Lepisosteus oculatus: one gene and its partners. The protein of the gene in region 2 interacts with the protein of the main gene of each other region in a biochemical or structural test. Links are inferred from orthologs where the notes say so. Each region holds a gene or a part of one and is shown on either strand. Other genes may lie near its edges. The genes, in order: prmt6, hmga1b and prkcab.

The links.
Region 1: of the proteins of hmga1b (region 2) and prmt6, one has a biochemical effect on the other in vitro, tested with the Homo sapiens proteins (2 studies listed by BioGRID, with this or other methods). The link is inferred for Lepisosteus oculatus from reciprocal best matches to the Homo sapiens genes HMGA1 and PRMT6.
Region 3: of the proteins of hmga1b (region 2) and prkcab, one has a biochemical effect on the other in vitro, tested with the Homo sapiens proteins (2 studies listed by BioGRID). The link is inferred for Lepisosteus oculatus from reciprocal best matches to the Homo sapiens genes HMGA1 and PRKCA.

Annotation. Positions count from the first base shown.
Region 1 is NC_090704.1:10,697,612-10,707,570, forward strand, and holds prmt6 (protein arginine N-methyltransferase 6), read left to right. Parts: upstream 1-6,661; 5' UTR 6,662-6,717; coding exon 6,718-7,764; 3' UTR 7,765-8,211; downstream 8,212-9,959. UniProt on the Homo sapiens protein: Arginine methyltransferase that can catalyze the formation of both omega-N monomethylarginine (MMA) and asymmetrical dimethylarginine (aDMA), with a strong preference for the formation of aDMA.
Region 2 is NC_090700.1:29,517,509-29,528,709, forward strand, and holds the start of hmga1b (high mobility group AT-hook 1b), read left to right. Parts: upstream 1-6,658; 5' UTR 6,659-6,767; intron 6,768-6,871; exon of another isoform or gene 6,872-7,075; intron 7,076-7,355; exon of another isoform or gene 7,356-7,374; intron 7,375-7,464; exon of another isoform or gene 7,465-8,132; intron 8,133-8,971; 5' UTR 8,972-8,991; coding exon 8,992-9,105; intron 9,106-11,201. UniProt on the Homo sapiens protein: HMG-I/Y bind preferentially to the minor groove of A+T rich regions in double-stranded DNA. It is suggested that these proteins could function in nucleosome phasing and in the 3'-end processing of mRNA transcripts.
Region 3 is NC_090704.1:46,204,436-46,216,217, forward strand, and holds the start of prkcab (protein kinase C alpha type), read right to left. Parts: upstream 5,042-11,782; 5' UTR 4,836-5,041; coding exon 4,666-4,835; intron 746-4,665; coding exon 714-745; intron 1-713. Other genes in the region: beta-2-glycoprotein 1, read left to right, coding at 9,706-9,775, 10,848-11,024. UniProt on the Homo sapiens protein: Calcium-activated, phospholipid- and diacylglycerol (DAG)-dependent serine/threonine-protein kinase that is involved in positive and negative regulation of cell proliferation, apoptosis, differentiation, migration and adhesion, tumorigenesis, cardiac hypertrophy, angiogenesis, platelet function and inflammation, by directly phosphorylating targets such as RAF1, BCL2, CSPG4, TNNT2/CTNT, or activating signaling cascade involving MAPK1/3 (ERK1/2) and RAP1GAP.

The DNA of each region.
Region 1 (9,959 bases), on a different chromosome or scaffold from region 2:
AGCAGCTGGTTAATGCTTATTGATAGGCAGCAGAAGTCATCACAATCCATCAGTCCATTTTCTGAGTTATGCTTAATCCACAGAGATCTGTTATAAAGAGCACAGGTGAGGGAGAAAAATCACAGCATTTCAGTACTTGTGCATCACCTTCATACACCACACCATATGTTTTGGACGCCCTCAACACAAGAACACACAGCCATGCCCTCTAACACAAACATCCACCTCAGTCAAGTTAAATGACACAACCAATTTGCAAGGGCCTCAGGTAACTAAACTGATTAGCATAAATAGGCTAAAACTTTTATTTTTATAAGTTCAAATCTTCAGCAATATATGCACTGGGTAAATCAGGCAGTGTGAACATTGTGGTGATACTGCAATGGTCTAGGGTTCAGCCTCTTCTTGCAAGCAATGGGGGAAGAGAATAGGATATACCACCTCAATTATCTTGCAGTTGAAAAGAGCGGCAATAATGCTTCTGCCATAGAACCTGAACAGAACGTCTTCAGAATCAACAACGAAATGCAAACAAGAGGAAAGAAATAAAAACTAAGGGAGAGTGCACTTAAAAAGGAGAACATGAAGCACTACTTCACTCAAAAGGGTTGTGGCAGTCTGGAACAAGGTACTCAAAGCCAAAACCGTTGCTTTCTTTAAAGAAATGTCTGGATGTGACTGACAAACAAGCAATCTAAAATGGCCTCCTATTGTTTACAACTTTCGTACAATGCTCCATTCTCATTTTTGGGGCTCTCAAATTAATCAGCAAAACATTTTAGTCATTAAATGAAGATTGATTCAATTCCAAAATATTTAATAGGAACAAATACTTAGTACAGTTAGTTTACTATATACCCATAAACAGTCTAAGGTGAGAAGGAATGTTTTGAATCCCATGTCTTCTGCTTTCCTTCAGTTAGCTCTTGTAACAAATGTGCTTAGCATGCTTTGATTGACAGCATCTCTCATTGTAGTCAATACATTGGTTTATAAAATAAAGAAAGGATATTTTTCCTTATGCCATTCAATATCATTTATTTATTAATCCAGTTGTTTAGATTGGTCTTCTGACTTGGCTTTACAACTCAGATGCTTACAAATATGAATACTGGCATTTAGGTATTCTTAAAATGGATCTCAAATATTTTTTAATCAAATGATATTGCAATGCTGGGTATTTCAAGCTTAGATATTAAACTGATGGCCAGCTGACACTTGGAATATCTGAGAGGGAGAATCATACAGTATGTAAATCTCCTTAGTTCAAAGGAATCTCAAAACTTACAGAGTGAGATGCTGCACTGAATAGCACACAAAGTTTAAAATGATTTAGAAATTAGCTTAAAAAAGAGACAGAACTGCTGAAAAGTGTGCATATGTTTTAGTAGGCTAATGATGATACAAATGAATATTGCAGTAACATTACTGTAATTAGTGACATACAGTAAACAAAGTTATATTTTAGAAGTATTTCTAATTCAGAGTTCAAATTCAAGGAAGTGATTTCTGCACAAACAATATTCTCCTAACAAAATAATGAGAATTAATTTGGCTTTCTGCCCATTTTACTTAAATCTGTCCAATAGCATAGGTCTTGCTTTCTTTTAACAAAAAAACAAAAGGTGAAAATTGGTACTGTTTAATTAGTTCATAATATCGGCCTAGGTTTATTTTAACATCTGCAACAATTACAATTTCAACACAATTGTGTGGGGAATACGAAAATACATCTTGGAAGTAGACCTATTTATAAAAAAGACAGATCTAGGTAGGTTGTTCAGTTTTAGCAAACAGGTTCATGTTGAAACAGATAGTGCCCTCATTGCATGAAATATACAATGCAATTAACAGACAAAAAAAATTAAACTATAATGTCATGTGAGGTGATATCCTGAAAGAAATTTTAACTTGAAGTAGAGGGCCTTTTTCTAGTCGCTTTAAAAACATCTATCTAAAATCTATTCCAGGTCAGTGCTCTACTTACAGTGTGTAGGTTGCACTAGTGAAAGGTCATGAATGATGAAAGACATAGCAGGTGGTCCATACTTTGAAGCTATCAATAGACCCCTGAGATGAGAATCAAACAAACCACATACAAGCCTTGTCAGACAGGTTTCAGCACTACAGAAAAGGAAAGTCACATTGGTAAAGTATAATGTGCACACACTGTGTAACATCAGGGCACGGTCAGCAAAGAACAGTAAAAGGAAGAAAACTGAAATATGCCATTTAAATAGTATTTTAAGAAATTTTCATTTGTGTGAAATAAAAAGGTAACACCATTGTTCCTAGCATATTTGCATGCATACAAACAAAGTAATAATCTAAGGTTTATTCCAAAATCGGAAAAGAATAAAACGCAAAGTTGTATGCTACATGCTTGGAAGGTGTTTCTGCTAATGCCCTTGAATTAAGGGAAAAATGTTGGTGTTTTGTTATTGCGCACAATCCTGTTGTCATTATACTTATTTAGTCATATACTGTATAAAATACCATTTGTACTATGTCAGATAATACACAGGTGTGGTTAAGTTACCCATTGGTCTCAAGTGTGATTGAAGAGCTTTACATTTTGTGATAAGAGTATAAGAGAAGAAATAAATATCATATGCGTTGTTGGTATTGGTTCCTTAAAACTTAAAAGGGGATTATGCTTAAAATGACCCAAAATAGTCAGGGTTACCTTTTTTTTTAATATCGCCCACTTCTTAGCTACAGATTGGAAAAGAAAGATGTGACTTTACAAAAGAAATTCAGAGCACTAGATTAGAATGTTCTTGACTTCTGATAAATAATGCACTCTTAAAAGCAACTTCTCCATTACATGATGATATCAGTTCCAATAATAAGACTTTTATAAAAGTAATCCAATCTTGACAATCTAATTATTCGAGCACTGGAAATATGCTTTCTATAATTTCAGATATTAAGGATTTAACAAAAGTATAGACATATAACTTGATAAAAACTCTTTTGCCCATTCATCCATTTCTAAACTGCTTTCCAATATTACATTCTATAAGAGACAGAAGAAGAAGAAGATGACCTTATTAGCCATATACAATTTCTTGAACTAGGAATTTGTCTTTTTGCATACCCCAGCTTGCTCTCCATCAGACACACAGGCAGGGAGAGAAGCTTGGGGTCAGAGTGCAGGGTCAACCATTTATATGGCACCCCTGGAGCAGCTAGGGTTAAGGGCCTTGCTCAGGGGCCCAAGGGAGTAAGATGCCTCTGCCGGCTGCAGGATTCAAACCGGCAACTTTCTAGCCACAGGCACAGATCCTTAGCCACAGTGCCACTGCTCTGCCCTTGAGTTGTTGGTTAACTTTTGCAGTTTCTCCTTAATGCAGTACCATATACTGTACAATTCTGTCCTCCTGGAAACATGAAGGTTCTAGATTTTTGTAGTTGTAGTTGTGACTTCAATATATATACAGTATATAGTATATCTTCACAGGCCTTTTACAATTAATAACTGTTGGCTGTTAATTAAATGTCAACCTGCAAATAAAGTGCAAACAAGTGGACAAGGTATATATGCTGATGTATACATTCGAAATTGTTAGAATAAATGTGGTAATAAAAGCTCTCAGGTTAATAAATGTATGCATAAATAGCTACAGGTACAGTATACACCCATATACAGTAGATCTACAAACGGTCACGTTCCATCCATCAATTTTTAAACTGCACAAGGGAGCAGGAGCCTAACACAGCAAGCAATGGGCTCAAGGTAAGATTCACTATGGATGGGAAGCCTGTCCATCAAAGAGAATACACAGACACAAGCAAACAGACATTCACACCAGGGCCAGTTTTACAGGAGCCAGTTAAGTACCAGCATGTCTATGGACTGCAGCACAATACCAGGGCACCTGGAGGAAACCCATGTGAACACAGTAAGAATATATAAACTCCACACAGATAGTAAGAAAGAATAGACAAAATCATTTTATGATATTTTGACAGATCTCATCCGCTTCTCTACTAAAATTGTTCCTTTAATTTTGAGGTATCAAATAACCTAGTTTTTAGGTATAACAGTCTCCTTACCATACAACTGCACATATCTAAAACATCTAAGTATCTAAGACTTTTCAATCAGCATTGACATATTTGCATTTTTATCTATCCAAACAAACCACGGGTCTCCAATAATTTAACTTCCATGTGTGTTTGTCATTGTACCAAATAGATTCATATGAAGTTATTTCACAAAAGAATCTTTGCAAACTGGAAATTAGTAACAATTTGTTGGTTTTCAAAAGTCATAGTAGATCAACTGAAATGCCATTTTGTCTTACTTTCATGTTTTAATGAGCTAAAACGTGATAAGCATTTTATTACAATGAAGCTTTGCTATCCACTCATTAAGAAAATATGTATTTCTTGTTGTTAAACATTAATTAAAACTATATAAAACTCTCATTCTAAAAAATCTAGAAAAGACGGAGAACAAAAGCAAAAGTAAATACATGTTTGACATGAGCTTTCTGATTGTACTGGAATGCTTAAAATCTTTAATTGCAGATAAGAGCGAGAACAGTATTCTGTTACTAAGGCATGCATCTTACACAAAAACCAATGCATTTTTAGAATAAAAGCATTCTTTATTAATAAATACAATGTTACAGATTTGTTTAAAATGCCCCTTGTAACTGTTCTACCATTGCAAGAGTGTTAAAATTAAATCTGTAATATTACAGCTTAAACATCACACATACAGTAAGTTGCAAAAACCATTATTTGGTTGTTAAAACTTTACATTTAAAGGAATGTTATTACCACTTGTTCAGTGCATTTATAGCTTTAATTTTCCATGTGTGGTGCTGCACCTGTAGTGCTTGCAGCATACTAATTTTGTATTACTGTTTGACCCCTGAATAAGAGCAGCTTCATTTATATACTAAGGCTTATGGTCTTATGTATTTATTTCTATTTATAATGCAGCTGTTCTTTGCAGTGAAATGATAGTTTCACTTCAAAGCATGAGTAAAGACAAAAAAATATTGGAGATAACAGGGATGCTTTCATGTACCTTGTTGCTGATTAAGAGTGAGCCCTGGTATGGAAAAGTTGCTAGGGAACCTGAAGCACTATGGTTTTGCTCACAGCTAAACTAGTCACACTTCTCCCAGCAGGGCTGTCTGTGAAGCTTCTGTAACACATAAAAGCACCTTCAAACTGTTCTTGCTTTTACTTACAGTATAAGGAAAGCATGAAAGCAGAGTCAAGAAACTATCAGCACATCACTTTTTAATTCAGAATAAACCAAACATATCTTCTTCCTTAGCTCACCATAACAGCACAGAACACAATGATTTTTGGAAGAAAAATTAGATGTTGAAAGTAGCCAATTAGATGTCTATAAAATTCCTTTTTTCTAACCACTGCATCCAATTTATGGTCACAGAGGAGCTGGGGTCTATCCTGGAAAGCAACAGGTGCAAGGCAGGATACACACTGGACTGGACATGACACCAGTCTATCACAGGGCAGACACACAGTACATACAGTACCATCTCACCAGGGCCAATGGGAGCACCTGGCAAAAAGACACAAACTCCAAACAGATAGCACCCTATGTGTGGAATTGAACCCAGAACCCCAGCACCCCTGAGACAATGCTAACTACTGCCCCACTGTACCACCCACCAGTGTCACCATAACTGTTTAAAATACTGGGTACCCTGTGTTATGGATGAAAGGAAAGAAGAAACAAAAAGCAGAAGAATACCTCATCAATAATTTAATCCATACGACCGTGTTATCAACACCAAAAGTGCATGGTGTGCTTCTCTTCAAGAGAATCTGTGAAAACTCCTTAACCAAAGCCAACTGAACTGCAGAAATGATACTGCAGATTAACTTTGTATGAACTAACAGCATCCAGCTTTACAGTACACAGATGGGAAATGATCGTCAGTAAACTAAACTGATGACTTAAAATGATTCAAACTTTCACATGTAACCCGGAACAGTGCAATACTGCAGTCGTTTGATAGAGAAAATAAGAAATACGTATATAATTATAGTTGAAAGAGGTTGATGCCTATTCACAATACAATAAGAAATCAGTCACAGTGAGAGCTGTCACTATGATTAGTAAGCAGACATTCTATTTTAATGTGTTGCTCAGTATGATAGAAACAGCTGGAGGTTTAGCTGGCTGTAGATAATAAGTGCTGGAGTGATTTTATTTCCTGTGCATAAGGATCGATCAACTTAATAAAAAGTCGTTTTTAAGACTGAGATTTATTTTTAAATAACCATCACAGGCTGATTTCACTTTGAAAACTGGGAAAAGGGTATAATTGTATCTTTTACTTTGTGGAGTTAGCCTCTGCTTGTTCTTCTACAGCTTGCACGCCGACGCAGCTCCCTGTTGTAGTTATGTTTAATTTTAAATACCATTAACGTATGTTTGTCCTGAGAATTTGTTCTGACGCATCATGAAATTACAGCCTTACGCTCCCTCTCTTTACACTCCTTAAAAGCATTATACATTTAACATAATCGAGTCCCCAGTCTTTAATTCCCCTTGTTCTTGGGAGTTGTAGTACAAAAGAAAAGAGAGGAAGTTAACTTAATTAACTTACTTCCTGTAAGAACTACGATTCCCATGATTCAGTATTACATCCTCCCTCGAGGTAGCTTGGGAAACGCGGAGTACAGTATAGCTGAAGTGGCGTGGGTATTTGACACGGCAAAATGACTCAATTTACGAAAAAAAGGAAACTAGATCAAAGTGTTCAGGATAGTTTGTACTTTGATAGTTATTCCGACGTGACCATCCACGAAGAAATGATTGCAGATAAAGTACGCACCAATTCTTATAGACTGGGTATTTTAAGGAACAGTAAAACGATCCAGGGTAAAGTTGTCCTGGATGTTGGTGCAGGAACTGGTGTTCTGAGCATTTTCTGTGTGCAGGCTGGGGCAAAGAAGGTGTACGCCGTGGAAGCAAGTGCAATAGCTGACCAAGCGAAGGCAATCGTAAAACTCAATAAGATGGATGACAAGATCGATGTTATAAAAGGTACATTAGAGACGACAGATCTACCAGAGGCGGTCGACGTGATTGTCAGCGAGTGGATGGGATACGCACTGCTCCACGAGTCTATGCTGAATTCAGTGATTTTCGCTCGAGATAAATGGTTAAAACCTGGTGGTCTCATTTTACCCTCTAAAGCTGAGCTGTATGTTGCTCCCATTAATGACTTGGTGGTGGAAGACCGACTCAGTTTCTGGAGTACTGTGAAAGACCAGTATGGTGTGGATATGTCTTGTATGTCTGACTTTGCACGGAAGTGTATTATGAATAATGATATCACTGTGAACATGGTTACTGTGGAAGACGTGCTCTCTCATCCTGCGAAATTTGCCGAGTTAGATTTGTACACAGTAACGACTGAGCAGCTTAAACGCGTAAAAGGGTCCTTCACATGTGAGTGTTTTGGATCCTCCTGTGTAAATGCATTGTGCGTGTGGTTTTCAGTGAATTTTCCAGGTGAAGAGAAACCTTTAGTCCTCTCGACTTCCCCTTTCAAACAGGAAACTCACTGGAAGCAGTCTGTTTTGTATTTGGACGAACCGATTGACGTAATGCAGGACACCAAGGTCGAGGGAGAAATAACCTTGTACCCTTCGGAAGAAAGCTCAAGACATATATGCATCCACGTGGACTACACAATAGGAGATCTTAAAAAGAAATCAAAAACATTTACAATGGGGGATGGCTACTCAGACCCTCAGTAAAATAATGTACCGTGATGTCTTGCTGGTGTGCCTGGTCAAGTCTAGACCCTTTTTAATTAAAAAAAAGTCCTGAAACCCACCATGTCTAGAAATAAGTGCTCCTCATTATATGTAAACTTATTTCTCCTTTGTATTGTGATATTTTTTTAACGAATAAAGTTAATGTGTATATGTGAAGTTATGCTGCTTGTTAGAATGTTAAAAGTATTTTTATAAACATGAGCTATTAACAAAATAAACCATAAACGTTAGATCAAATTTATTTGTAATCTACTGTGAAACGTTTTGAAGCGAATGTGTGCGAAAGCATTTTCCTGTGTGAGGCTTGTTTGAAGGATGTTAAAATTTTAAGACTATGTAAAAAGTGTGAAATGTTGAAATTGTAAGAGCTTGCTCGGAACTAATTCAAAAAGTGGTCTGTAACAAAATAAAACAAGTTTCAATCCAGATGTTTTTGAGGTCATAGAAATTTGAACAAAACAGTCTTGAAATCGAGCATTTTGTTGTAATCCCAGAATGTGGCTAAATATGAGTTGTTCATAGATTAAGGTTTACTTATTCAGTGCAGGAGTGAGTGATGAGAGAAATACCAAGCAGAACATGTATTAATGAGCCGAAGGACACAAGTAGAAACAACATGGAAATGCATTTAAAATTCAGCTACTTCTTTATTCAAAGGGTTGTGGGAGTGTGGGACAAGCTGCCCTTGTTGAAGTGGTTTGCGTGGTTAAAACTGATACCTTATCTTCTTTCAGGAAATCCTTGGATTAATAAGGTACTGCCAGCCAAAATGGCCAGATGGCCTGAATGAGCTCCTCTATTTTAGAATTGTTCTTATGTTTTATTATTATTATCAACGTTGGGCATTGCTATCCTTTCTCAATAGCTGTACTTGGCCTTTTAGAGATGCACATCACTGCTTAAAACCACTTTTTAAGGATTCAAAGATCATAATAGAGTTGTTAAAATGCATATTGAGTAGCTTTTCAATTTAGTGTACTTTGTGTTTCTGTGGAAGCAGAATTCCTGACTGGGTGCTGTGAGTCAAAAGGAATCTCCTGGAAAACCCCATTGCTGCCATGACCTTTCAACTTTCACCTTGCCCCTTATGATCTTTCAGATTACAATCAGCCTATGGTGGCAATTCTTGGCTATAGTTATAATATATTTGTACTTTCTAGAAGAAAATAGGTAAGACCTAAGATGTATACCATACTTTTGTGTAGATCTATAATAGTACTGTGAAGTACTTTTCTGTAAATGGTACAATCCAATTCTCAGTATGTGAATCCTCAGGTAATTGTAGATGTAATGTATTCAGTGCAGAGTCATTCAATGAAGTAGACACCCACAGGTCCTTATCTAAAAAAAACATGGTTAGTATAATGACTTCTAATGATGCTTGGAAGAAATTTTCTTTTCAAATGTGATCAAAGTGATACCAGAGCTTGATTTTTCTTGGAGACTTGTAATTTATGGGTGTCCTGAGTAAAAAAGGTTTACTGCCAAAAATTGATACAAAAAGCCTAACAGTGCTGGCTGTATCATGAATTATTTGGCCTTTTCCCCAAATGTGCTGTTTTAAAATAACCTCTTCATAGCTTAAACCGTGAAACATACTCTGGCCTTTACATTTTATTTAATGGTTGTTCTGATAATATAACCTTTAGATTTTATATAAGCCTGAAATGGTAACGTGAAGACAGGAAAGCAATAAGACTGGGGCTCACAAAGGCTGAGAGAATATGGCTGTCCTTCGACTGTAATTTAAGGCTGCAGCAAAGGTCCATGGGGGCATGAACTGCTGCAGCAGGAACTGGTAAGCAAAACCCTGCTTTTATTATAGAGTTCAGTTTGAGCTAGCATGACGATGTTTTGTACCGAGATGCTCTTGAAGAAGGCTGATTAAAAAAAACATCTTCGGCACCAGCCACCTTAGCACATGGCTGTTCCAGAGTAACTTTGTTTTTTTGGGGGGATGGGAGGCACAAGGCAGAAGAGAATTCTGGAAAACTCGGAGAGGAGCAGTGAGTTCATCTTATGTTAAATCTTTACAGTGTGTGTGCTGCGTGTGAAGTTACTGGATGATGAATGGTATTCAGATATGTGACAGTATTGTAACATCTACCACTTTTTTTTTATTTGCAGAACTCATTTTGTAAAACCTGTAGCTATTGTAACAGTCTGTGGATTGT
Region 2 (11,201 bases):
TTAGAACTGGACAGACTGTGGTGTTGACCAGTTGGAGTTTGGGCACTCTTCTGCCATTAGAACTGGACAGACTGTGGTGTTGACCAGTCAGAATCAGGACACTCTGGGATATTCAATGATGTGATTTACTCAACATCACGTTTTAGGTCATTATCTAATCACAATGAGCCACTCTGCAAAAATAAATCATTTCCATTTAAAAGGTGATCCTTTGCACCGAGAAAGCTTGCTGTTTCTTGCAGTCATTCATCTGTCAGAGGGTGACCATTTCAAAGGACTTATAATTTGCTGAGAATAGGCATCCATAAATGTACACACACTACTGCACTTTAAATGCAGGTAAGTTGCATTACAGGGTTGTTTCATTTATACATCTAGAAATGATACTCAATTAGATGGATGGGAGCCCAGTTTTAGGTCACTCAACTGGTGATGTATTTGGAACTCTGGCTGGGATGAGGAGAGAGATGAAACTCTCCTAAGACATTACCAGATTCCTCAAATGTATTCCTAAACAGACTGATTGAGATTAACTAACCGACCAAGGGCATCACAATTCAGACTATTCCAGGACCACCTGTACAGTACTTGATTTTACAGTGTGTACATGTACAGATGGCATCCAGAGTGCCAACAGAAGACTCAAAACAGTCTGTAAAAAACAATTCTTGTCATGTTGCTAACTAGATCACAGTCAGAGGCAGCAGACAGGGTTAACTCTTTAATACTACACTCTTTAAAAGTGGTGCAAACAAGAAACCTACAGCCAGAGTGACACATTGCACTTAGGATCAGAAATATGGGCTTTCTTACTGTGGATTAACAGTTTGGTGAACTTTCATGACACTTTAACTGCAATCCAAATCAAAATCACATTTGAATCCACTGATATAAACTGACAGAAGTCTGATGCACAGCAGGGTGACTCAGAAAATGGAAAGCAATGCAAAAGTGCTCACTGTGAACATGTGGAATTGGGGTTCTCTGTTCACAGTTGTTATGATGAGATATCCTCTTTGCTCAGTGACAGTCACTGGCATTAGAAACAACTGACTTAATTCTGCAAAACATTACTGAGCTCTCTAAACAGACAAACTGTGGCCATTCTATTGCCATCACAAATGCCCAAGCCCTCCAGATGATTGCAATATTGATTTAGCCAATCTGGCACCATAGATCATGAGTCTTGTCTCTCCTATTGAGAGATCTCTGATTGCCTGATCACAGGTGAGTAATCTGTGACTATTCTGCACTTTTCCAGGCTATTTCTGTCTAATAACTGCACATTTTCCAGTTGACAAATGCCTTGTTTCCACACTTGACTTGTGCAATACTAAAATGTAAAGTACCAACAAAGGAGATTTCAATCACCACTGTACACACAACCCCTCTACAGCAACTCAGCTGCTTAGAGGGACAGTGTGCAATTATTATATTTGTCAGTGTCCACATTCATCTTCATAAACCATTTCTTCATTCAGTTTAGATACCTTTCTTGGTTTTCTCAATTGAATTGACCCAGATTTGATTTCAGAAGAAATGGCTTCTTCTGGGAAGTTTCTAAATAACTTCTGGATAAGTGTGTAGGTCTTTGGACATAGAGTCAGGGGTTCAAATACCAGGTGTGGATACTGTTGACTATCCTGAGCTGCCCCAGCAATTCCAGCTGTATAAACTGCTCCAAACATTTGTTTATATAACAAAACTAGTTAATGGTAAACTCTGTAACTTGCTTTAGATAAAAGATCAGACAAATAAACAAACCACTCTGATAACAACAATAAATGATACAGTGCTTCTGAGCATCATATTAAATAAAATGTTGGAAGGAACAATAGATTCCTTGCGTAAGTGGCCGGTCAGAAACATCCAACACAGTGTTAGTACAAAGATAGAAAAAGGAGAACATGCTGCATATAACATCCTCTGCTTTTCCTAACCCCCAATAGGTGTAAAAGAGCCATTGTTTCCTACTGTGTTTCTGCCAAGCTGCTTCCTGAGTTGAAAAGTTCACACACCCCCCTCCAGACAATACAAGAGGTGTGATATTCGTCCAGATATTTACATTCAACAGAGGAAGCATTTTAATTTTCTGACCTGTCAGAAATCCATCAATCTTCTCTCCCCTTGAGTTCCTTAACGCTGGCAATGCTCTGTATTTGTTCTCGTGTCCAGACATCCATCCATTTTTAACTGCCTCTTCCACTGCAGGGTCAATGGGGAGTCAAAGCCTACCTCAGCAAGTAACAGGCTCAAAGCTGGGTATACCCTGGACAAGACGCCAGTCCACTGCTGGGCAGACAGACACTCACACATTCACACCAAGGCCAATTTTCCTAGAAGCCAATTAACCATCAAGTATGTATTTGGACTGTGGGAGGAAACTGGAGCACCCAGAAGAAACCCATTAGGCATGGGAGAACATGCAAACTCCACACACATAGTACCCCAGGTTTGGAATTGAACCCACGGTCCCAGCACAATGGGGCAGCAATGCTATCCTCTGCACCACTGTGCCACCTGTTCTGGTGTCTTTTACTTTAAAAAAACTGAAGAATCTTTCTTAGCTCAAGCAGCCAAGGACCTAAAAAGGATCCTGAGATTATCAGAAGTTTTAGACAAGAGCTCAATGTCAAATGAGCAATGGCTGAAAATTTTATTCAGAATGCTGCTTCCAGACCTGTGCGTAATACCATATTCCTGTTCAGTGATTGAAGTGTGAAGCCTCCATCCCCCTAACATCTTTAAAAATAACTATATTTTGTTTCCAGGTAATTTAAAATTGGATTTCTTAAGAGAAAATTGTGTCTGGTTATCTCTAAGTGTCCTACTTCGGAATCTTCATCCTGCATTGGGGAATGCTGTCAGCAAAGCTGGACAGCAGCATGATTGCTTTAGTCTCCTTTATTATATAAAAGGCTGTTTTGTTTTATCCCCAAAAGGCTGTTTTGGTGCTGAAATTGATGTAATCTACTTTATACAGTAAAATGAAAGAGAGAAAATATTATTTTTATTATGCTGGTTATGACATGTGGCATGGTGTTGCAGTAGTTAGTTGCAACACTGGGGCTCATATTGTGCAATATGACTTTTTTTGTACTGTTCTGTTCTGGTTTGTTCTTTGTGTGTTCTGGACTGTGAGTAACTCATCTTAGTGCACTTCTCACTGTACTGATTGTATTGTATGTATTGTATTATTATTATTGTATCATTCGTTACACTGTGGCTGTGTTAAGTTGCTGTTGCACTGCAATTTTCCTCACGGGATCGATAAAGTATCTATCTATCTCTGGATTCAATTCTGGACCTGGAATGCTCTCTGCATGGAGTTCATATGTTCTCCCTGTGTTCGCTGGGTTTCCTCCGGGTGCTCTGGTTTCCTAACATACTGGTAGGTTAATTGTCTTCTGGGAAAACTGTACGGTGTGTTTGAGCCTGTTTTTGTGTCTGCCCTGTGATGGAAAGGTATCCTGTCCTGCCTTGCAGTCTTTGCTGGACAGGATTGGCTCTGGCTCCTCAGATGCAGCCTTTGAAAAATGAATTGGAGGAAGAGGATAGAAAATCACTAGATATTTATTGTGCTAGTTTCTGTTTTATAGCTTTGAATCAGAAATGTGTTTATTGTTTCACTCAGAACGCACTTGTTTATGTGTGAAGGTTCTTCTCAGACAATGTGAAAGTAAACTAACATCTGCTCACAATTCAGCAGTTATCCCCCTTATTAGATTAGAGTATGTTACTTTATCCAAATAAGACATCCCTGATCTGACTGATTTGTAATTTGTAATCAAGAACTAAAATCAACTGTATATTGCTTTTGTGAGCATAACTGCTGTTCAGACTGTTAAGAAATGTGCTTATGAAAATTTAGGGATTCACTATTATCCTACCTATGGGAGAAGGGAATTTTGTTATGGTATAGCGTACATTTTGAAAGAGCAACCACTCCCTAAACATTTTTAATTTGTATAAAAGTTTATTTACAGGGATTTGCCATTTCCATGGAAAACGTTCATGAAATAAGCAAACATTCTCTTAGGTGTAAGACAAACTAGTTCAATTAGTCTCCGTACTCTTAAACTGTCGAAGAAACAAATGTTACAAATCCCCAAAAAGGATAAAGACAGAGGATGACAAGGATTGAATCAGTTTGTTGTGTGCCTGGTCTGTTTCCTGCATCCAAGTAAGTGTAAGAGAGAGCAAAGTATATAACGGAAAAGTGTTTTGATAAAATGTATTATTGTTTTTAAAGTATATCCAGCAGCCATATCACCCTGCAACACACAACTGGCAACCCACTGAAGCTAAGCGGGTGTGAGCCTGGTCAGTACCTGGATGAGAGACCTCCTGGAAAAAACTAAGGTTGCTGCTGGAAGAGGTGTTAGTGGGGTCGGCAGGGGGCGCACACCCTGCAGTCCATGTGGGTCCTAATGCCCCCGTATAGTGACGGGGACACTACTAAAAAGGGCACCGTCCTTTGGATGAGACGTAAAACCGAGGTCCTGACTCTCTCTGGCCATCAAAAATCCCAGGGCATTTCTCGAAAAGAGTAAGGGTGTAACCCCGGCGTCCTGGCCAAATTTCCCATTGACCCTTACCAAACATGGCCTCCTAATAATCCCCCTCTATGAATTGGCTACATTACTTTGCTCTCCTCCCACTGATATAGCTGATGTGTGGTGAACGTTCTGGCGCACTATGGCTGCCGTCGCATCATCCAGATGGATGCTGCACGTTGGTGGTGGTGGAGGGGAGTCCCCATTACCTGTAAAGCGCTTTGAGTGGAGTGTCCAGAAAAGAGCTATATAAGTGTAAGCAATTATTATTAATTACATTATTTTTACAATATGCCCACCTGTCCACTCTGAGTTTGCGTCTGAAAAACAAACCAAACTCACTGTCAGGTTTTGGGTTTGTTCTGGGCTGAAAAGGCTAGTTATTTGATCTTGAGTGTGAATGCTCTGTAATCCAAAGGAACTACAGCAGCACAAAAGAACAAGAAGGCAAAGTAAAGTTCAGAACATTTCAAGACTCAAAGGTAAGACACACACTTTAACACAGGTTCCAGGAGCTGAATCTCTTTAGTTTTGAAAGCACTGTACCACTCAAGGATTTGAATAAAGCATGCATCCAAACCTTGAAAGGTTCAGCTCAAAGAACTAGTTAAACCTCGACACAATGTAGGACTGAGAACAGAAGACTCAATTTTCTCAAAAGGCTGGATACAGTTCCTAATTTAATTACTAGCAAACTGGTGAACATTTGGATTGGAAAGTCTCCTGTCACCGTGAATTTTCATTTAAAAATATTCTTCAAAGAAGAGTGAAGTGTACGACATGGAAAAGGTGACAATTGCTAAACTGCTTTCAGAGGAATTACATTTGCTTAGGACAACAGTAAAGAGTGTGGTAAAATAACCAGATAAATAAGACAATTTTTTGTGCAGGAATAATATTTACTTAATTTAATTATCAGGTCTGGAAAATTATATCACATGAAACAATAGTTTTAGTTGAGTGCATATTATTGATAATAATACTAATATAAATTGATAAATGTATGGAAAAAGGTTAGCACACAAAATTGATAAATTAGGATAATAATACCTGACATACTGTCTTTTTTGTGCAAAGGTGTACTGGTGTAGCACAGCAATCTCTAATTATAGAAGATGGCCTTTGCAAAACTAATTTACTGTAGATGGCTTCTAGCTTATCTTTATTTTTTACTTGACTCATAAAATTTTCATAAAATAATAACGGATTACACGGTTTAGCGAGAAATACAGTGACGAAATACTTTAATTTGCATTTTGTGTTAGTTTGTTGAGGGTATAAATACAATATTTATTGTATTTATACCCTCTATGAATTGGCTACATTACTCTGCTCTCCTCCCCACTGATAGCTGATGTGTGGTGAGCGTTCTGGCGCACTATGGCTGCCGTCGCATCATCCAGGTGGATGCTGCACATTGGTGGTGGTGGAGGGGAGTCCCCATTACCTGTAAAGCGCTTTGAGTGGAGTGTCCAGAAAAGCGCTATATAAGTGTAAGCAATTATTATTATTATTATTATTATTAATATTTGAAACTATTTGATAAACAATTCTATTGAACTCCATCCATTTCATGTGATTTATCCAGTTCATTTTTAGAATAGTTTTATTGTTCAAAATGCTGATTTATTATTTATGGGGGGAAGCAATTGGGAGAAAAAAAACAGAATTAAGAAAATTCCACAGCATCTATATTTCTTTTTAAAAGTATACAGTTAATTTCAGGGCTTTAATGCACTGCAAATCAAACTGCGTTAATTTTTTTCTAACAAAGACGCAGGGCCATCGGACAATATGTAGAATGGATAGGTACAAGAACAAAGCTTAGCTGAATGCTCCTTAGTTGTATCTTTCTTCTATTGAAAGGGTTACACCGGTAATAACTTTAAGACTTTAAGTTAAAAAAAACTTGATGGGCGCACTCTTGCTTTCTGACTTTGCACTGTTGCACTGAAACGATTTCCTAGAAAGTACGCTCCTTGCTGCGCTTACAAAAAAATTAAAAGCCCTTTTTAAAGAGCTTCACGAAGACCGGCCTACTTATCATATCCCCGCCCCTACAGTTGTTCTTTTCCCCCTTGAGAGAACCTCCTCAAATTGTCCTAAAGTCCCCCTGCCCGGGCTTTCTATTTCGCTTGGAGAACACTGCGCGCTATTTTTAGCACATATTGGACCGTTTCCAGGACCTGCAACATTTTTTTGAAAAAATTGGTAATTTATCCCCCCACCACCACCACCTCTCTCTCTCTTTTACTTCCTCTGTCTCACTTCTTAAAAAAAAACTGAGGTTTTTAAAGGGCTGGGTTAGTATGCTTATTTCCTTAGCGTTATATCTACTGTAGCTGCTGGGAGCTTTAAACCGGTCAGGCAAGCGAGCAAGCAAGCCAGACTAGCAGGGAGCTTTTGTTTTAATTTAATCAGAGGACATCACTGTGGGGGGGTGGGGGGAAAGGACAAGCACCGAAGCAGGGAATTCAGCACGGCTGTTTGTGAGCTCTAAAACCGGCCTTGCTTGTAATGTAAGTGAACGGCCACCTTTTTGTCGTAATTTATGTCCAAGTATGTGTTGTTATTTGGATTTTTACGATTGCAGTTAAAATGTAGCTCAAGTGTTGGATTTCTGACTGTGAATCCGCACGTTTCATTGTTATTTTTCTGCAATGTATATATGTATGTTTTGCACATGCTTGTTTGCTGATCGTCCTCTTGGTAGCTACCACAGCAAAAGGGGGAAAGATTTATTTTCATTGCGTTTGTATTGACCTTGCAGCCGCCTGTTCCCGTCTCTGTATAAAAACGAGAACGGTGCTTCTTCACGGTCGGTGTCGGGCTGATATTGTATTTGTGCTTGCTTTGCATATTCCTGTTCGTGCTGGAACTGCGGGGCATCCGTAGCGACCCTGCTTTCAGAAATATTATACACGTTTTTAGGGACGTATTATTTACATCCTTTAGCTGCAAGTTATGGCGTTCTGGAGCTCTGAATAGCTTTCGTGTGTTAAAAAAGCATTGGAAACGTTTCATGTGCTTGCACGTAAAACTGCGGTTTGTCGTCTGTTTATAAATGAATTAAATGGTGGTCTTGGGATTTTGGCCTTTTAACTACTGTTTTGTTTTTAAGAATTGCGCTTTTCAGTATGTCAGATTTTTTTTCCATTAATCCCCCTCTCACGTCAGTTTTTTTAACTTTAAGAAATGACTTACGAATCTGTTGATCCAATTAAAACCCGCTTCCATGCAAGTCTATACTAGATGGATTATTGCGTTCACAGGTCTGCTGTGTCCTCTGTGTGAGGCGATTCCTATTCTCTTAGAAACCTGTCAATGGGCTTGTCTTCTAATTTTGAACAGAAAAATGTACCAAGGAAAAGTTTTGCAATAAGTGCGAAGTTGATTTTTGGCATGGAGATAGTACCTTTAAATCGTATTCGAATGTTGCATGATTAATCTGGCGAATTTCTGTCGAGTTTAAGTGTTTTTTGGCGTGTTATTGTTTTTAGTGTTTATTGCAATCTCCCCTGACACTATTCCCACAGCAGAGAATGTTTGTATAAATAATGTATTTCACATCACACGGTAGGTTATGAACGTCTCGGAGAGCGTGTGTGGTTTGTGGTCTCTGGCGCCTTTTGCTTTCAACAAAGGCGTCAAATTGGATTAAAGTGGTGGAACTCGTGTGCATTGAAGAGTTTAATAATCTCGTAGCCGCACCGTGAGGATTTTAACTGTTATGTAATTATAAAAGTCTCTTTGTGCTAGGTAAAACAAATACTTGCATTTTATGTAGAAAACACCAACCCCTCTTGTGGAAATGAAATTGCAAAATGCGAATATGTTTGAAAGCAGAAAGCTGCACAGGTGTTCATGAAAGATTTCTTGTTTAATGTTGCTTCGATAAAATACTTTTTCTTGAGAACTTGGCTAGGTGGTGGCGCTTATGAGTACTTTTTATCTCGTTCTTTCAAAAACGGTGAAAAAATCCCCTTATCGCTTACAAGAGGCCAACAGGTGTCTGCGCTGTACGGAGTTGTATTACACAGGCCAGTCTGCTCAGGGTATGCTAGGATGTTGCACTCCCGTCTCTTAACGATTCTAGGAGTGAAGGTATCCAAATGTTTGCTGGGAACTGCGAATCTTCAGAGCCTCTGTTCAAGCTGCGTGATCTATAACGTTAAATTTAGATGACAATTTAATACTTTGTAAATTGTCAGTGGGTGCATAGTGCTGAAGTTTAATTCTTCAGTGATTTTGAAATTCTGATTTTCAAAATCTCCCTCCCTTCTTTTGAACAAATCCTCTTTGTCTTTAACCTTGCACGCTTTCGAGTCTGTGGTTGCTAGAAGTTGCTTTTGGGAAGGGAGCCCTTGCGTTCAAAGGTGCCCATCGCTAACCCGTCTTCTGTGATTCTTCCCTAGAATAAAGGAACGGGCAGAATATGAGCGATTCGGGTGCAAAAGGCAACCAGTCTCTGTCACAGAAAGACAAGGATGGAACAGAGAAGAGAGGGAGAGGAAGACCTAGAAAGCAGCCACAGCTAAAGAGCCTTGAAGTAAGTATGAGTTTGGAACCACACTTTGAGCTCTGATCATGCTAGTGTTGAGGCTAAGTTACCAATTGCTAACATACTAATTTATTTGGCTGAGTCACGTCTGTACCCATTAATACAGCTGGGTGTTCTGCTGTGTCACGTCTGGTGAGGTACCATCCTCACGGGTACAAAGCAGTGTCTCATCTGGGATTTGAACCTGCAGCCCCCCTGTTGAGGTAATCTCTGTTCATTGTAGTCAAAGAACCTAATCTGACCCTCTGAGATCATTTGGGTCCACTCACACTAGGGAAAGCAACATGTGGATGTAACCATGGAAATGAGACCTGTTAAATTTAGCCCTTCTCCTCTGGAGATTTGTGAAATATCTTCAGTGCTCCTGCCCCCCCCCCCCCAAACATATTTTTCACGGTAAGCCTGTGCTCTTGGTATTTTGATCGTTGGCTTGGAAAGAATTCAGAAATCCCATTGAAATTAAACCAAAGGTGCAGACTGTAAACACATGGAACAGACCTTAAGCGATGATAATAATAATAATTGCTTACACTTATATAGCGCTTTTCTGGACACTCCACTCAAAGTGCTTTACAGGTAATGGGGACTCCCCTCCACCACTACCAATGTGCAGCATCCACCTGGATGATGCGACGGCAGCCATAGAACGCTCACCACACATCAGCTATCAGTGGGGAGGAGAGAAAAGCAATGAATTCAATTCCTAGATAAATCAGTGTAACCTGCAGTAAGGAGGCTGTTGTCCAGGTTTGGCATGTTTCAGTGTTCAGCTGCCATCATTTTTAGGGTTTGTCATTTGTCCTCTCGGACTGTTTGTGAATGTACACCGTAAACGCTCATATAACCTCTGAAAAGCACATCTGAAGCATTATCATTAAAGCCTTTCAGACATTGACTAGGTCAGTGTGTATTGTGTTCTGCCTTTCTGAATCATTTGGAAGCTATGGATTTGCTATCTGCTATGTTTATACATATAATGGCTGCATGCTTGCTTTTCTGTAGCTGTGCTTCAGATCTCTGATGCGTATATGCTTGGTGCGCAGAACATTTGGGGGTAATAAGAATTTTTCTCATTTAATTTAATAAAAAAAAACTTGAAATTAAATGTTATCCAAAAGGTAATGGAGAGTGAATGATTTCAGTTGCATTCTTCGAGGTCAGTGAGGGTCTAACTCGGGCACAGTGTAGTTCCTGTTCTGCGTGGTAGATGTTCCTGCCAGTGTTTGGCTCTATCAGCTGAACTCTGCGAGGCGACTCTCAGCCCGTCTCCCAACTTCCTGCTTATAACTCTCCTTACTGGCCTTTAACCTGAAAGGGCTGTTTTTTTCCCTTTGCTTCAAATTTTTGTAGGTCAAGATATTCTCTCAGAAAAGTCCTTTTCTTACAGTAAATGTACTGATATCTTTAATGATTGTTGTTAGAAATCACCCGATAATAGCAACTCTAGTTTGTGTATTATAAGGCAATTCCTGTATGTTTTTGTTTAAGAATTTGAAAAAATATATATATATATTAAAAGGTAAGGGCTAAATGGTTAGCATCTCTGTCTTGCAGCACTTGGGCTCACGGTTCAGTTCCTGAGCTGTTATGTGCCTGGACCTTGTATGTTCTCCGGTGTTCATGTGGGTTTCCTCTGGGTGCTCCATTTCATTCCCTGTGTGTGCTCTGGCATCCTATCAAGGGTGTATCTTGCGTTGCGCCCATTACTTGCCAGAATAGGTTCCGGCTCCACTGTGACTCTGTATTGGATAAGGTGGTCAGAAAGTAGATGGATGGATTTAAAAGTTATAATGAGTACATCTTAAAATCTTAAAAAGTGTTTTGTTTAAATTAGACCGCCATTGGCTTGAAACTTCTGACTAGCTTTGTGGGGAGGGGGCATTCCTTCCCTCCTTCCTTTGTACATTTGTAATGATCTTCATTTGGCCTGGCGGGTTGTCAAAGCTGTGTGAACGGAGCCCCTAAACCACTGCTAACTGGCGGGTTCCTCCTCCCCTCCCCTGATTGGCAAGCGATAAGCGGAGCCAGGCATGTCATTGGCCGGGAGGGCTGTCGTTTGCTGAAGCTGCTGTGGGTGTTAGATT
Region 3 (11,782 bases), on a different chromosome or scaffold from region 2:
AGACCGCCCTCAACAGCTCAGCGGCCGCGGAGAGAAAGGGCACGAAAGGAAGCGAGTGAGGGCGCGAGCCGTGCGGGTCACGCCAAGCAACCACTTCCTGCCCGGGCGCGGCTCGCGGGGATTCGCAGGCAGCGCTGCAGCTCCGCGCGGCGGCTCCAGCACACCGCCCCTCCACCTGCAAACCTCTCCGCGGGCCGGGGAGCCAGCGCTGGGCCTCTCCACGTGAAGGAATGACTGCTCCTCCCTGCCCCCTGACACCGGGAGCTGCGAGCTACAGACACCACTCTGCCTCTCCTGGCCTTGAAGGAGAACAGGAAGATGCTACTTCACCGTCGGTTCTGAAAATAACAGAGAATGGCTCCCGCCCATCGTGACCCCCAACAACTCACGGCTCTTCAGTCTCGATCCTGCTCAGCTCATCTCTCTGTGCCACAATCTTCACCTCGTGTGAACGCGTAAGGCACCCGCCAGACTGAGAGAGCCAGAGGATACCCGAGCAGAGCAGCACAGAAGATACGCTGTCCGGTGAAGCGAATGACGAGGACAGACAGTATCTCCGTTTAGAGAATGGATGTCCACGTCCTCCTCTGCGCTAACAAGTGCTTGCAGATGATGGGAAGTGTTCTCTGGCTAAAACAGTGGCATTCCTTTAGGCTGCCCAACAAACCAGAGCAGGCGTCAAGACAGAATAACTCTTTTCATCAAGAACTTACCCTGGCACTGGAATCCTTGCTTTCCAAATCCCCTGTGAAAGGAAAAAGAGAGAAGAATCAGAATACGCCAGAATTATATATACAAGCGGTTTGACAAGCTAAAGGTTTTCGCATGAACGTTAATAAAGAGTAATGAAGGAGACTGGCGCCCCACAAGTATGCGGCTCTTAGCCACACAGAAGAGGACTTGGCATGTCATGGCTAGCGCTGGGGGAGGTTTGCACGTTTGTGTGATGCACAAAGAAAACAAAACTGCTTTTATCAGAGACCTTCACAGAGTGCTAATTCAGCTGCTTATCCGTTTGTATTTGCTTCTTCTCTTCGTTACTTCAGGAGCAAAAGCAGTGTCTGCTGAAATGTCTGTGTATCTGCTGTATCTCGCAGCCCATCTGTCCACCATCTGTGGCCAGTAGGATGCATTCTTCTCCATCTTTCTCTCAGAGCTCATTGAAAACCTCAAAACACCACTCAAGAGGAAAGACATGTTTTTAATTTTACTTTTTTTTTGTTTCCATCTATATTATCAGTAGCTCGGCTGGCAAATTCATATTGTATTACTGCGATGAAATGATTGTTATCTTAATTAGGAGCTATTTCTACTCTAGAGCAAAAAACCTGTGAGAACACTGTACTGCACACCTAGTGTAAAAACACTTAACTGAACCACTGGAGCTCCTCACAGTAAGAACAGGAAAGTTGCAGAAGGTGCTCTAACAAGCCACTGCATTCTGAACAGTAGTACTAAGCACACTACAGCACCATTAGTTTCTGAAATTGAAACTAATGAAACTAATTGAAACTAAACTTGAAATTATTCTTACTTTGCATGCAGTAATTGGCAGGGATCAACAACAGACAAAAAAACAGCTGTTTGGAGAGAATGAGCATTCATTACACAGGACTTTCATTACAGAAGAAAATTAAAAAATTAAAGTAGTTCATGTAGGTGGCTGCATCAGCTTGCGTAGGCTGCAAAGGAGCAAGCAAAGGTTTATTCCAGCCGAGAAGAAAAGAGAAAACATTTCGGCTGCAGAGCCTTCTTCAAGTGTCACACCTGAAGAAGGATCCACAGCTGAAATGGTGTCTCTCTTGTCTTTTCAGCCTGAAAATTAAAGAAGCTTCTTCACAGGACTATATTTTATCTAATTGTCTTGGCTTAATCTCTGATCTTAAACCTAAATCTGTTTTTAATGTTTTTGTATGAGGAAGACCAACACTGACCAGCGCCTCTGACCTCATGTGCGAGAGCTCTGGTAACTTTGATTTCAGAACATGTCAGATGGCCAATCTATAGCCAACTGATCCCAGAACCTCACCCCGTTGTTTCTGGGAAGAAGCCGGGGAATTCGCTTCAGTGATGTGGCTGGGCAGCTTGTCCCACTCTCCGAAGGCGTGCACTTTGAGCACCAGCCTTGTGCAACACCTGCCTGCTGGCGTACGTGAGGCGGCGTGATCGAGATAGACAGAGCATGCCCTCTACCTCCTCCCTGGGCGATAACTCATGATTAACTCCGCCTTGCTTTTACTGTACATAGCGCTTTTCAGCCCAGAGAAGTATAAACACAGGAGAGGACCCACATCCCCCGTCACTGAAGAGCAGCCCCCCAAACCCCCCCACAACACCCCAGGGGTAACACAGCCCATCAGCCCCAGCAGACCAGCAGATCAGGTGGAGCAGTGAGAGCTGCTTCAGCAGCTGAATGAAGAGGGATCTTTAGCAACACCAGACAGCACAGGCCAAGAGCACAGCGCAGCAACTACGCCAGTACTGTCCAGGAGTCCTTCACGACTGAGGAGTCAATGAACTCAATAGAGTCAGCAACTCAGTTTAATGACTCAGACTGGGGACAATATTTGGGAAATTCAGGTTCAGAGGTCAGAGCGCCACCTACAGGTCCACCAGTATCACTTACAGCAGCAACCTGGTTTCCCTTGGAGGCCTCCCACCCCAGTACTGAGCAGGCCCGGCTGAGCTTCCGAGACCTGGGGAGGTCAGGCTGTGAGGTGGAGACAGACTCCGAGCAGCTCGAGAGGCAAGGCTTCACGGCCGTAGCCAGCCCTCCCAAACCTATAAAGGACTCCGTGAAGCAGGACCCTGTCTTCTTCCCTTGTTGCAGACTCCTCCGTTTCTCCCAGCCCAGGCTTTCACAAATCACAACAAGATTGCACACCAAATGTTAACCACATTGGTGCAAATTCTCAGCTGCTACCTGCCACACATTTCCACATCTTGCTTTATAACTCATGGAGCACAACCCCCACCACCACCACCACCACCAAAAACGTGCTGCTGTAATTAGAGCACACCTCTTGGCCACAGCACTAGGACACAAAATGTGCTGAGCTGACATGCAGCGCAGTGAAATACAGATCCGCACAGTCTAGTCTCATAGATGGAAATTAGAGACGTTATAAAAAAAAGTTTTGCATACACCCTCCTGCACAGCATTCAGGGCAGCTAGCTCTAGATAGCAGCCCACATCATTCACTCAGGCCGTCTGTGACCGACCTGATAGATGGCACCTCTGGGGGAAATTATTTCCCCATTTCCACAGGGGATTAATCACTTAATGGCGGTCAGCCGTCTGTGGGTACCAGTCAGGTTTGCCCGCACGTCGCCGGCGACTGCAGACCCTTTCTGTGCACTGGCGTACGGATGCGTGCGGTGTCACACCACCAGGCAGCCCCGTTTCCACAACAATGGAAACGGGTTGAAAACGCAGGGGACCAGGAATTCTCTACCGCTGCGGCAGCCTTTGAACAAAGCTCGGTTCAAGAAGACCGTGCAAGTGCAGTTATCACCAGGGCCGCGCGGGTTTGTTTTTTAACAGCGGTTTTCTCCAATACAGTGGCTGAGCGAAACTGCACGCCGGTACTGATAATCCACGAACACGCAGGTGCGCGCCCCGCGTTCAAGGGAAATGAAGCCCACCAGCGCGCTGCAGACTGTCACACACATCTGTAACGAGAGCCATTAAAAACGCAACAGATGCCGTTGGTTCCAGCGCTCAGGTTGTCGGCGTTTTTAATGAATCTCGGTCTACGTGGAAATTAGCCTGCGAAACACTTGTTGCGAATCTTAATTGTAAACCCCCGGCCTACAGACGTGTTAGGCGGTGTGCATTCAGAAGCATGCCTGCTGTGTGGCAAAACTCATTTGTGTTTTAATGCAATTAAAAATTACAGCATAGCTGGGTTTCCGAACGACGTGTAACCCCCGCGGGGACATCGCGGTTCACAGTTGCTAAATGGAGCTGCCGACTGCCGAAGGCACTGTTTGTTTAACTTGCTTCGGGATTGCGAGAAGGTTGTGCGGGAACTTCAGACCTGTAGATCCAGCATCATCCTGGAAGCGCTTTCACGAGAAAATCCGCCGAGACGCAGACCGCGGGTGAGTCGAGTCCCTGCGCTCTTCACTTTTTCAGAATTTTGCTGAATACATATCGATTGTTTGGAGCATCAAAAAAAAAAAAACCTTCTGCATCTTGCCATCTTTCGTATCGCATCCTCGCAAATACAAGGAAACCGGGGGCGTTTTTCAATCTGGAGAAGACAAAAGCCCCCCCAGATGAATCCTAAACTTTAAAAGGGCGCAGAACCCCGTGAGCGCAAAAGACCCGCACGACGCCGGCCCGGGACACCAAGTAACTAAACTACCTGCGGTCACAGCCCAGCCCAGCCAAGCCCAGCCCAGCCCAGCCCGCAAAACTCCGCGGCTCAGCAGAAAAAAAAAACCCAACTTGGCATCTTAAGTTTCTGCAGCGAAACGGGAGAAACCGCCTCTCCCCGGCGGCTGCGCTTCCTCCCAGTTTGCACCAGACTGGCCGCGGAGAGGCAGGAGTGGGAGACGCCGTGCAGGGAGGAAAAGAGTTATTCCAGCAGAAAACTCCCCGTCGGCGGACACTTTCGAAACTGCCGAGGGGGGCCCCGGATTTAAAGAGGGCTCGCTTACCAGATGAAGTCGGTGCAGTGGCTGCAGAAGGTCGGCTGTTTGAAAAACCTGGCCGTGAACTTGTGGTTCTTCACTTCGTGGACGTTCTTCTGCCTCAAAGCACCTTTGCGGGCGAAACGGTTCGCTACGTCCGCCGAAGGTGGCTCGTTGATATGTATCATATCAGCCATGTCAGAAAGCGACAGAGCCCTCCGTTCGGCTTGGCTTGGTCCCGTCCCGTGTGGGTTATCTTGTGCTGCTGCAGGAGTTTCGTGTCTGTGAACTGCGGGCGCTGTCGTTGCAACTCAAGACGTCTGACCAAGCGGCGTCCCCCCTCGCCGGCGCTACAACTAGTTAATGACAGCTCAGACAGCGGACTCTCCTTCCTTCTTTGACTCCGGCTGACGTCAGTGCACATTACACTCCTGGGGAGGATACGTTCATTCCCCGATGGAAAAAAAATGGTAGCGCGGCGCGCCACCTGCTGGCCGTCGGGCTGTGTTGCAGGGCTGATGTCTTCGTAATGACCGGTGAATTTAAAAAGTGCCTGTAACATTATTGAGAGTGACTTCAAGTCCTGAAGCTGCCGCAGTTCTTTGGTATCTTTAAACTTTTAACTGAATGAGCTTTAAGCAGCTGGACACAGGTATGTTAACCTGTTAGAACTGCAGAGATTGATTCTACAAGCCCCGTTCATCTAGTAAATAAAATCCTCAACTCGGCCACACAGTTTGACAATAATTCTACACAACGCACCAAAAGCATCATATGCTGTAACAGAACCAAAATCAATTAATCTAACTCTCTTACATATTTTGCCTTCCATAGAACACAACTTTTAATACGTGTCAGCTTTAATAAGATAGCAGCTACTGTATATCACCCTGCAACTCACACCTAGCAGCCCACTGAAGCTCAGTAGGTGTGAGCCTGGCCAGTACCTGGATGGGAGACCTCAAGGGAAAAACTAAGGCTGCTACTGGAAGTGGTGTTAGTGGGGCCATCAGGGGGCGCTCACCCTGTGGTCCATGTGGGTCCTAATGCTCCAGTAGAGTGACAGGGACACTATACTGTGAAAAGGTGCCCTGTTTTGTATGAGACATAAAAACTAATGTCCTGACTCTGTCATTAAAAATCCCAGGGTATTTTTTGAAAGGAGAAAGGGTGTTAAGCTGGTATCCTGGCCACATTTCCTATTGGTCTTTACTAATCATGGCCTTCTAATAATCCATCCTCCATCTATTATAACTCTATTCTACTGATAGCTGAGAGCTCTCTGAGACCCACTGAGAGCTGGTGTGTGGTGAGCGTTCTGGCGCACTCTGGCTGCTGTCACATCATCCAGGTGGGGCTGCACACTGGTGGCGGTGGAGGGGAGCCCCATTACCTGTAAAGCACTTTGAGTGGAGTGTAGAGAAAAGTGCTACATAAGTGTAAGAAATTATTATTAAGTGCTGTGAAATGCTTTAACACGTTTAAGCATGTCATTGCATTTGTGCATATGACAAATAAACTAAACTGAACATCTGAGTCAGCATGATTTTGAGAACATGTGACTTTTGTTACCTGGGAGCATTTTCAGTACATGGACATGTGTAAAGTATAAGAACAGGACAGGTCCAGAACTCACGTCTCAGCTCAGGTCCATCAGCCCGGAGTATAATGTACTGTAGGAGAAGGCCAGAGGAAAAGGGAAAAGATGGGTCTTTAATCTGGAGGTGAGCAAAGAAGACTGGGAACATCAGGGAAGAGAATCCTGGAAATTAGGAGCAAGGAGTCAAATGGATGAAAGCCAAAGGCGATGATAACCTTGGATCAGACTCATGGGAGCTCAACTTATGTTAAGACGGTTGCTGTAGCATCTATCTACATGTTTTGAAAGGTTTGAATTAGTTAAAATCTCAAGGGGGTACTTGAGGCAACTAATTTAGGTGGAAGGGGTTCAGCTGGGAAGGTTACTTGGAAAGTGACTGGTGAGTTATACTGTGCTCGGTGGCGACACCTTGTGGTGGATTCTATGTTTCTCCACAGGGAGTTCTCAGGGGATGTGGAAGGCGCACAATAATAATAATTGCTTACACTTATATACACTGTAGCGCTTTTCTGGACACTCCACTCGAAGTGCTTTACAGGTAATGGGGATCCCCTCCACCAGCACCAATGTAGAACACCAGAACGCTCACCACACATCAGCTATCAGTGGGGAGGAGAGCAGAGTAATGAAGCCAATTCATAGAGGGGGGTTATTAGGAGGCCATGATTGATAAGGGCCAATGGGAAATGTGGCCAGGACGCCAGGGTTACACCCCTACTCCCTGTGATTTTTAATGACCACGGAGAGTCAGGACCTCGGTTTTATATCTCATCTGAAGGACAGCACCTGTTTACAGTATAGTGTCCCCATCACTATACTGGGGCATAAGGACCCACATGGACCGCAGGGTGAGCGCCCCCTGCTGGCCCCACTAGCACCTCTTCCAGCAGCAACCTTAGTTTTTCCCAGGAGGTCTCCCATCCAGGTACTGACCAGGCTCACACCTGCTGAGCTTCAGTTGGTTGCCAATTATGAGTTGCAGGGTGATATGGCTGCTGGCTAGACAAGTGATCCAGTTTCTCCCTTAGCAGGAGTGACATTGCATGACATTTCTAGTCTAGATTGAGATTTACTTCTTCATCCCTGAGCCCTGTGCTATCAGAGGTACTTTAAATATTACAATGAAGGTCAAGTTGTGTTTGGAGCGGAGTGGTGGTTCTGTGGCTCAGGATCTGTGCCTGTGGCTGGAAGGTTGCCGGTTCAAATCCCGCAGCCGGCAGAGGAATCCTACTCCATTGGGCCCCTGAGCAAGGCCCTTCACCCCAACTGCTCCAGGGGCGCTGTACAATGGCAGACCCTGCGCTCTGACCCCAGGCTATCTCCCTGTCTGTGTGTCTCATGGAGAGCAAGCTGGGGTCTGCGAAAAGACAAATTCCTAATTCAAGAAATTGTATAGGGCTAATAAAGTGATGTTGTTGTTGTTGTGTTTGGAGTGATGCTAGGATTAGGGTTAGTGTTAGACTGTCCACAGTTCAGCTAGAATAGTGTGGTGCAGGGGTCAGGACATTTCACTTGTCACTGGCTGGTTGTGGGTTTGAACTCCAGGTGAGACATTGCTATTATACCCTTCAGTGAAGTACAGTACTTCACCTAAATTGGTCCAGTAATCAGCTGTATGCATGCAAATGTAAGTTGCTATGGACGTTTGTAAGTTGGAGTCAAATATAGTCCAGAGGAAGTGACTCCATCTCCGGCCTATTGTAATGTTTCTTAATTTCGTAAGTCCATGACAGTAAGATGCCTGCAAGTATATGAAAACAGTAAAGGATTAATTGCACAGTAAAAGGAATAAGTCAATATGTGCATATTAGGATACCTACTGTAAATGTCTGCTTTTTACCAGATTTTGGCTATAGTGTGAATCCTACTCCGCAGTGAAACTGGTCCAGTAGGGAAATTGTAGTAATGATAGTGGCGTACAGTTAGGTCTGCTCCTCTTTAACAGTAACTGTGTATTTTGTACCATGATAAACACTCGCCTTTAATGTACTGTCCACAGTTTTCACTTGTGTCTGCTGGTTCGTGTTTCACTGTTGGATCAGAAGAGATCCACTGGGCTCGCTTTGTCAGGGCCTTCGGGTACTTCGGGTACAAGTTTCCCTTTTAGTCTTTTTGTCTCCTCTGTTCAAAACTAAAAAGGTCCAGCTCTTGTTGCCTGTCTCCTTTGAGCTCCAGAAAGTATCTGCCTGCTCTTCCCTGGACTGATTCCAGAGGACAATCCAGATCTTAAATGCTGTACCTAGCCAAGGCACTTACACGAACGAGAGGAAAACTGCTTATTAAAATTTAAAATACTTCCCAGATCTTCTGGGGGCTCCTCGGACTGTACCGGAGTCCCACAGAGTTTGGGAACCAGTGTCACTGGGAATCAAACCAGTTTTGCCGAGTCAAATCAAAGTTAAAAAACAATAATGAAAAACAGAAAATAGATGAATAAGTCAATATGTGCGTATTAGGATACATTAGAAGATATTTTCAGTATCTTTAGATAAACTGCTCCTCTGGAACGATTGATTTATTCAGTAGCAAATAAGAGGAAACGTGTTTTAAACCTCAAGCAGCCAACAATTTTTTTTGTTTCCAGCTCTCACTGTGTCTCATCTGATTGTCATCTTGGAGCTGTGCTGAGCTGATGGGCACGTCACAGAGCTGAGGGGCTGGTGTTAATATTAACCTGCTCTGCCTGCTCTCCCTCTGGGCAGATGATATAGTGTTTACCGCAGTGCTGTCTGTTATTTTATACACAGAAGTTTCTGATCTGAGAAAACTGCAGCTCCCAAAGCCTGTATCTTTAATGATTGTGGGTGCCAGCACAGTATTAAGGGACGCAAACAAAGAGCAGGCTTTACTGACCATGCAGGCAGACCCCAGGTGTTTTGCTTTCTTTTGCTGCCTTTAAAAAATATTGATTTCAAGAGAGTTACTTTTCAACTTTGGGTAAATACAACTGTGGTTTGGACTTTAGACCCCTGATCAAATCAGAAGAGAAAGGAGACCCCAGGGTTGATACTACTTATAATACTTTAATGTCCAGAAGAATTTAGAAACATCTAGAAGAAAAGGTGGAGGCTGAGTTCAAGCGGGGCGCTATTTTAAATCTGTGCTGAAGAATGTTGCTTTCTAGACATGCATATCGTTCAGAATTATTCATTATTAAGTTGGAAGTTATTTTTTATTTAGTCCTGAAAATGGACTATTTTCAGTTTAGACATGTTCAGTATCCTTATACTGTACTTATGTGCCTGAAGATGATTTTTATTCCTATTACTGTTGTTGTGTGCCCTGCAGCAGTGTTTGTGGTTGGTGTTTTTATGGAATGATTGGCTAGGCTTATCTGCTCTTATCTGTTGGCTCATCTGAGGTGGACAAACAGCGGTGTCAGCAGGCTGATCTCTTAGTCCGGCTCAGCTCTCCCGGAGAGGACAGACCCTGTGCCTGCGACTGTGTCCTCAGCCCTGCCAAGGAAGATGCTGTGGGGACTAGCTCTGCTGTTACTCTGCGAGGTCTCCCTCCAGCCCTCAGCGAACGCTGTCAAAGGTACAGTAGGTCCTGGCTGGCCTTCTCATTGAGCAGTATTGTAGCCATGAGCGACCTTGTATATAATATATATATTTATATATTATATAAATATAATCAGAGTTACATTACAAAGATACAGGGAATCAAGAAGACCTTTGATGAAATTCATCCTTTGATTCAGTTTGTAGCAAAACTGTTTGATAAATTAAACATTAAGAATATGTTGGGTCAATGAAGTCATCTGTTGTGAGATGAATTAAGTGTAGGAGAAATTAAAGTGATTTCCAAATAGGAAAATGAGCTACGAGCAGAATTACTTTCTTATGTTTGAAAATAGATTTCTCTGAATACTTTTAAGACAACTAACTCTTGGTTTTGGAGGGAATGTGTATGGAAAACTCAGATGAGATTTTTAAAAACATAATAAAATAATACAAGAAACACAACTGCTTGTTGGCAAAATTGTGGCGAGACTAAAGCTCATTACACACATGTATTATATACCTGTCCTGTTCTGAAAGGATTCTGGGATAAAGTTATTAAAGTTGTGGAATGTCTATCTATGCCCAGATAATTTTCTTCTTGGAAGAACTCCATGGGTGTAGTTTTCTGAAATAGATAAGTACCTCTTTAGAAAATTAAGAACAACTATTTTACAAATAACAAGATAATGGCTCAAACCACAGGCACCTCAAATCGGTAAACGGACTGAAAGAATTAGTGACGTTTATTAAATGGAATGGATAACAATGACCCACAGTCTTTTGGTCAGCTAAATAACGACTGCACTGGGCTGGTCGCCTGTCCTCCTTCTTGAACACGAAGAAAGCTATGCAAGTTCAAATGAAAGACATTAGAGTTCATTAAACAATTTCATTAATGCTCTACACTCCAATGCCACAGTTTCAGCTGGAGCTTTTTTGTCTTATATCTGCTGTGCTTATGTAAAATAAAGGTTTTGTAACCAGAATTTGTCAACTGCATTGCAACAGTGTCCTAATATACGTTTAACATCTAAGAGTAGTAAAATATTTTTCTGAAAGCACACCGTGCAGATTAACATCACACTGTATTGGCTGTGCATCTGCAGTGTGTGGGCGCCCCCCGCTGATAGAGAACGCGGAGATGGAAGACGACAGGCGTGTGTTTGAGGCCGGAGAGGAGACCTTTTACACCTGCAAGCCCGGATACAAAACCACAGGGGGCTCCAGGAAGGTGGTCTGCACCCTGTCTGGGGCCTGGAGCAGACCAACTCTGAAGTGCTCCCGTGAGTTTCTTACCGCATCGGAAATCTCCAGTTTCAGTTTGCAGCAACGACATCGCAGGCAGGCCTTTCCGTAAACACGCTGAAACAGAGCAGCACAGGGCAGACCTTCACACTTAACATGTGCAGTGAAATGTGTGACTTCCCAGGCCACGGTTAACTGGTAAAAAAACACTGCCCACTGGGACAGAGCAAGAGGTTTCTGGCAGACCAAGCGCCATGAAATTTGAGGTCAGCTGGTGAAATGGAGGTGTGACTCCATCATTCCTGGCCGGAGCTGCTGCTTCTGTGGAGTGTTGAGGTTTTTTGTTTGTTCAGTTATTTACAGCGCAAAACAGGCTGTTGTGCAACTGTGAAATTCCAGGGGAAATTCAGAATAAAAGCAATTTACTTTTAAATATAACATTGGTTTTGCCTTACCGAGGCTAGTGCATAACATCTCAGGAGAATCCTTTTTTCCTGCACCCATCGAGTTGATGTAATATCTGCTTTTTAACAGGGCAATGGTAAACCACAGCATGTACAGTGCAGTGCTATGTGCCATGCCTGCCTCACAGCGTGGCCCTGTAGCAGCTTCTTCGCTTGGATGGTCTGCCACCGTGCAGTCAGGGCAGCCCTTCGTAAAGAGGAGAGCCACAGTCACCACAGGGTTTCTTCCACTCTGACCCGCAGTTCTCTTATTTTTGGAAACTTGCTTCTCTGCACAAATCAGATCGGCTTTTATTTTTTGGGGTGTAGAATAAAACTCCCGACTCAGCTAC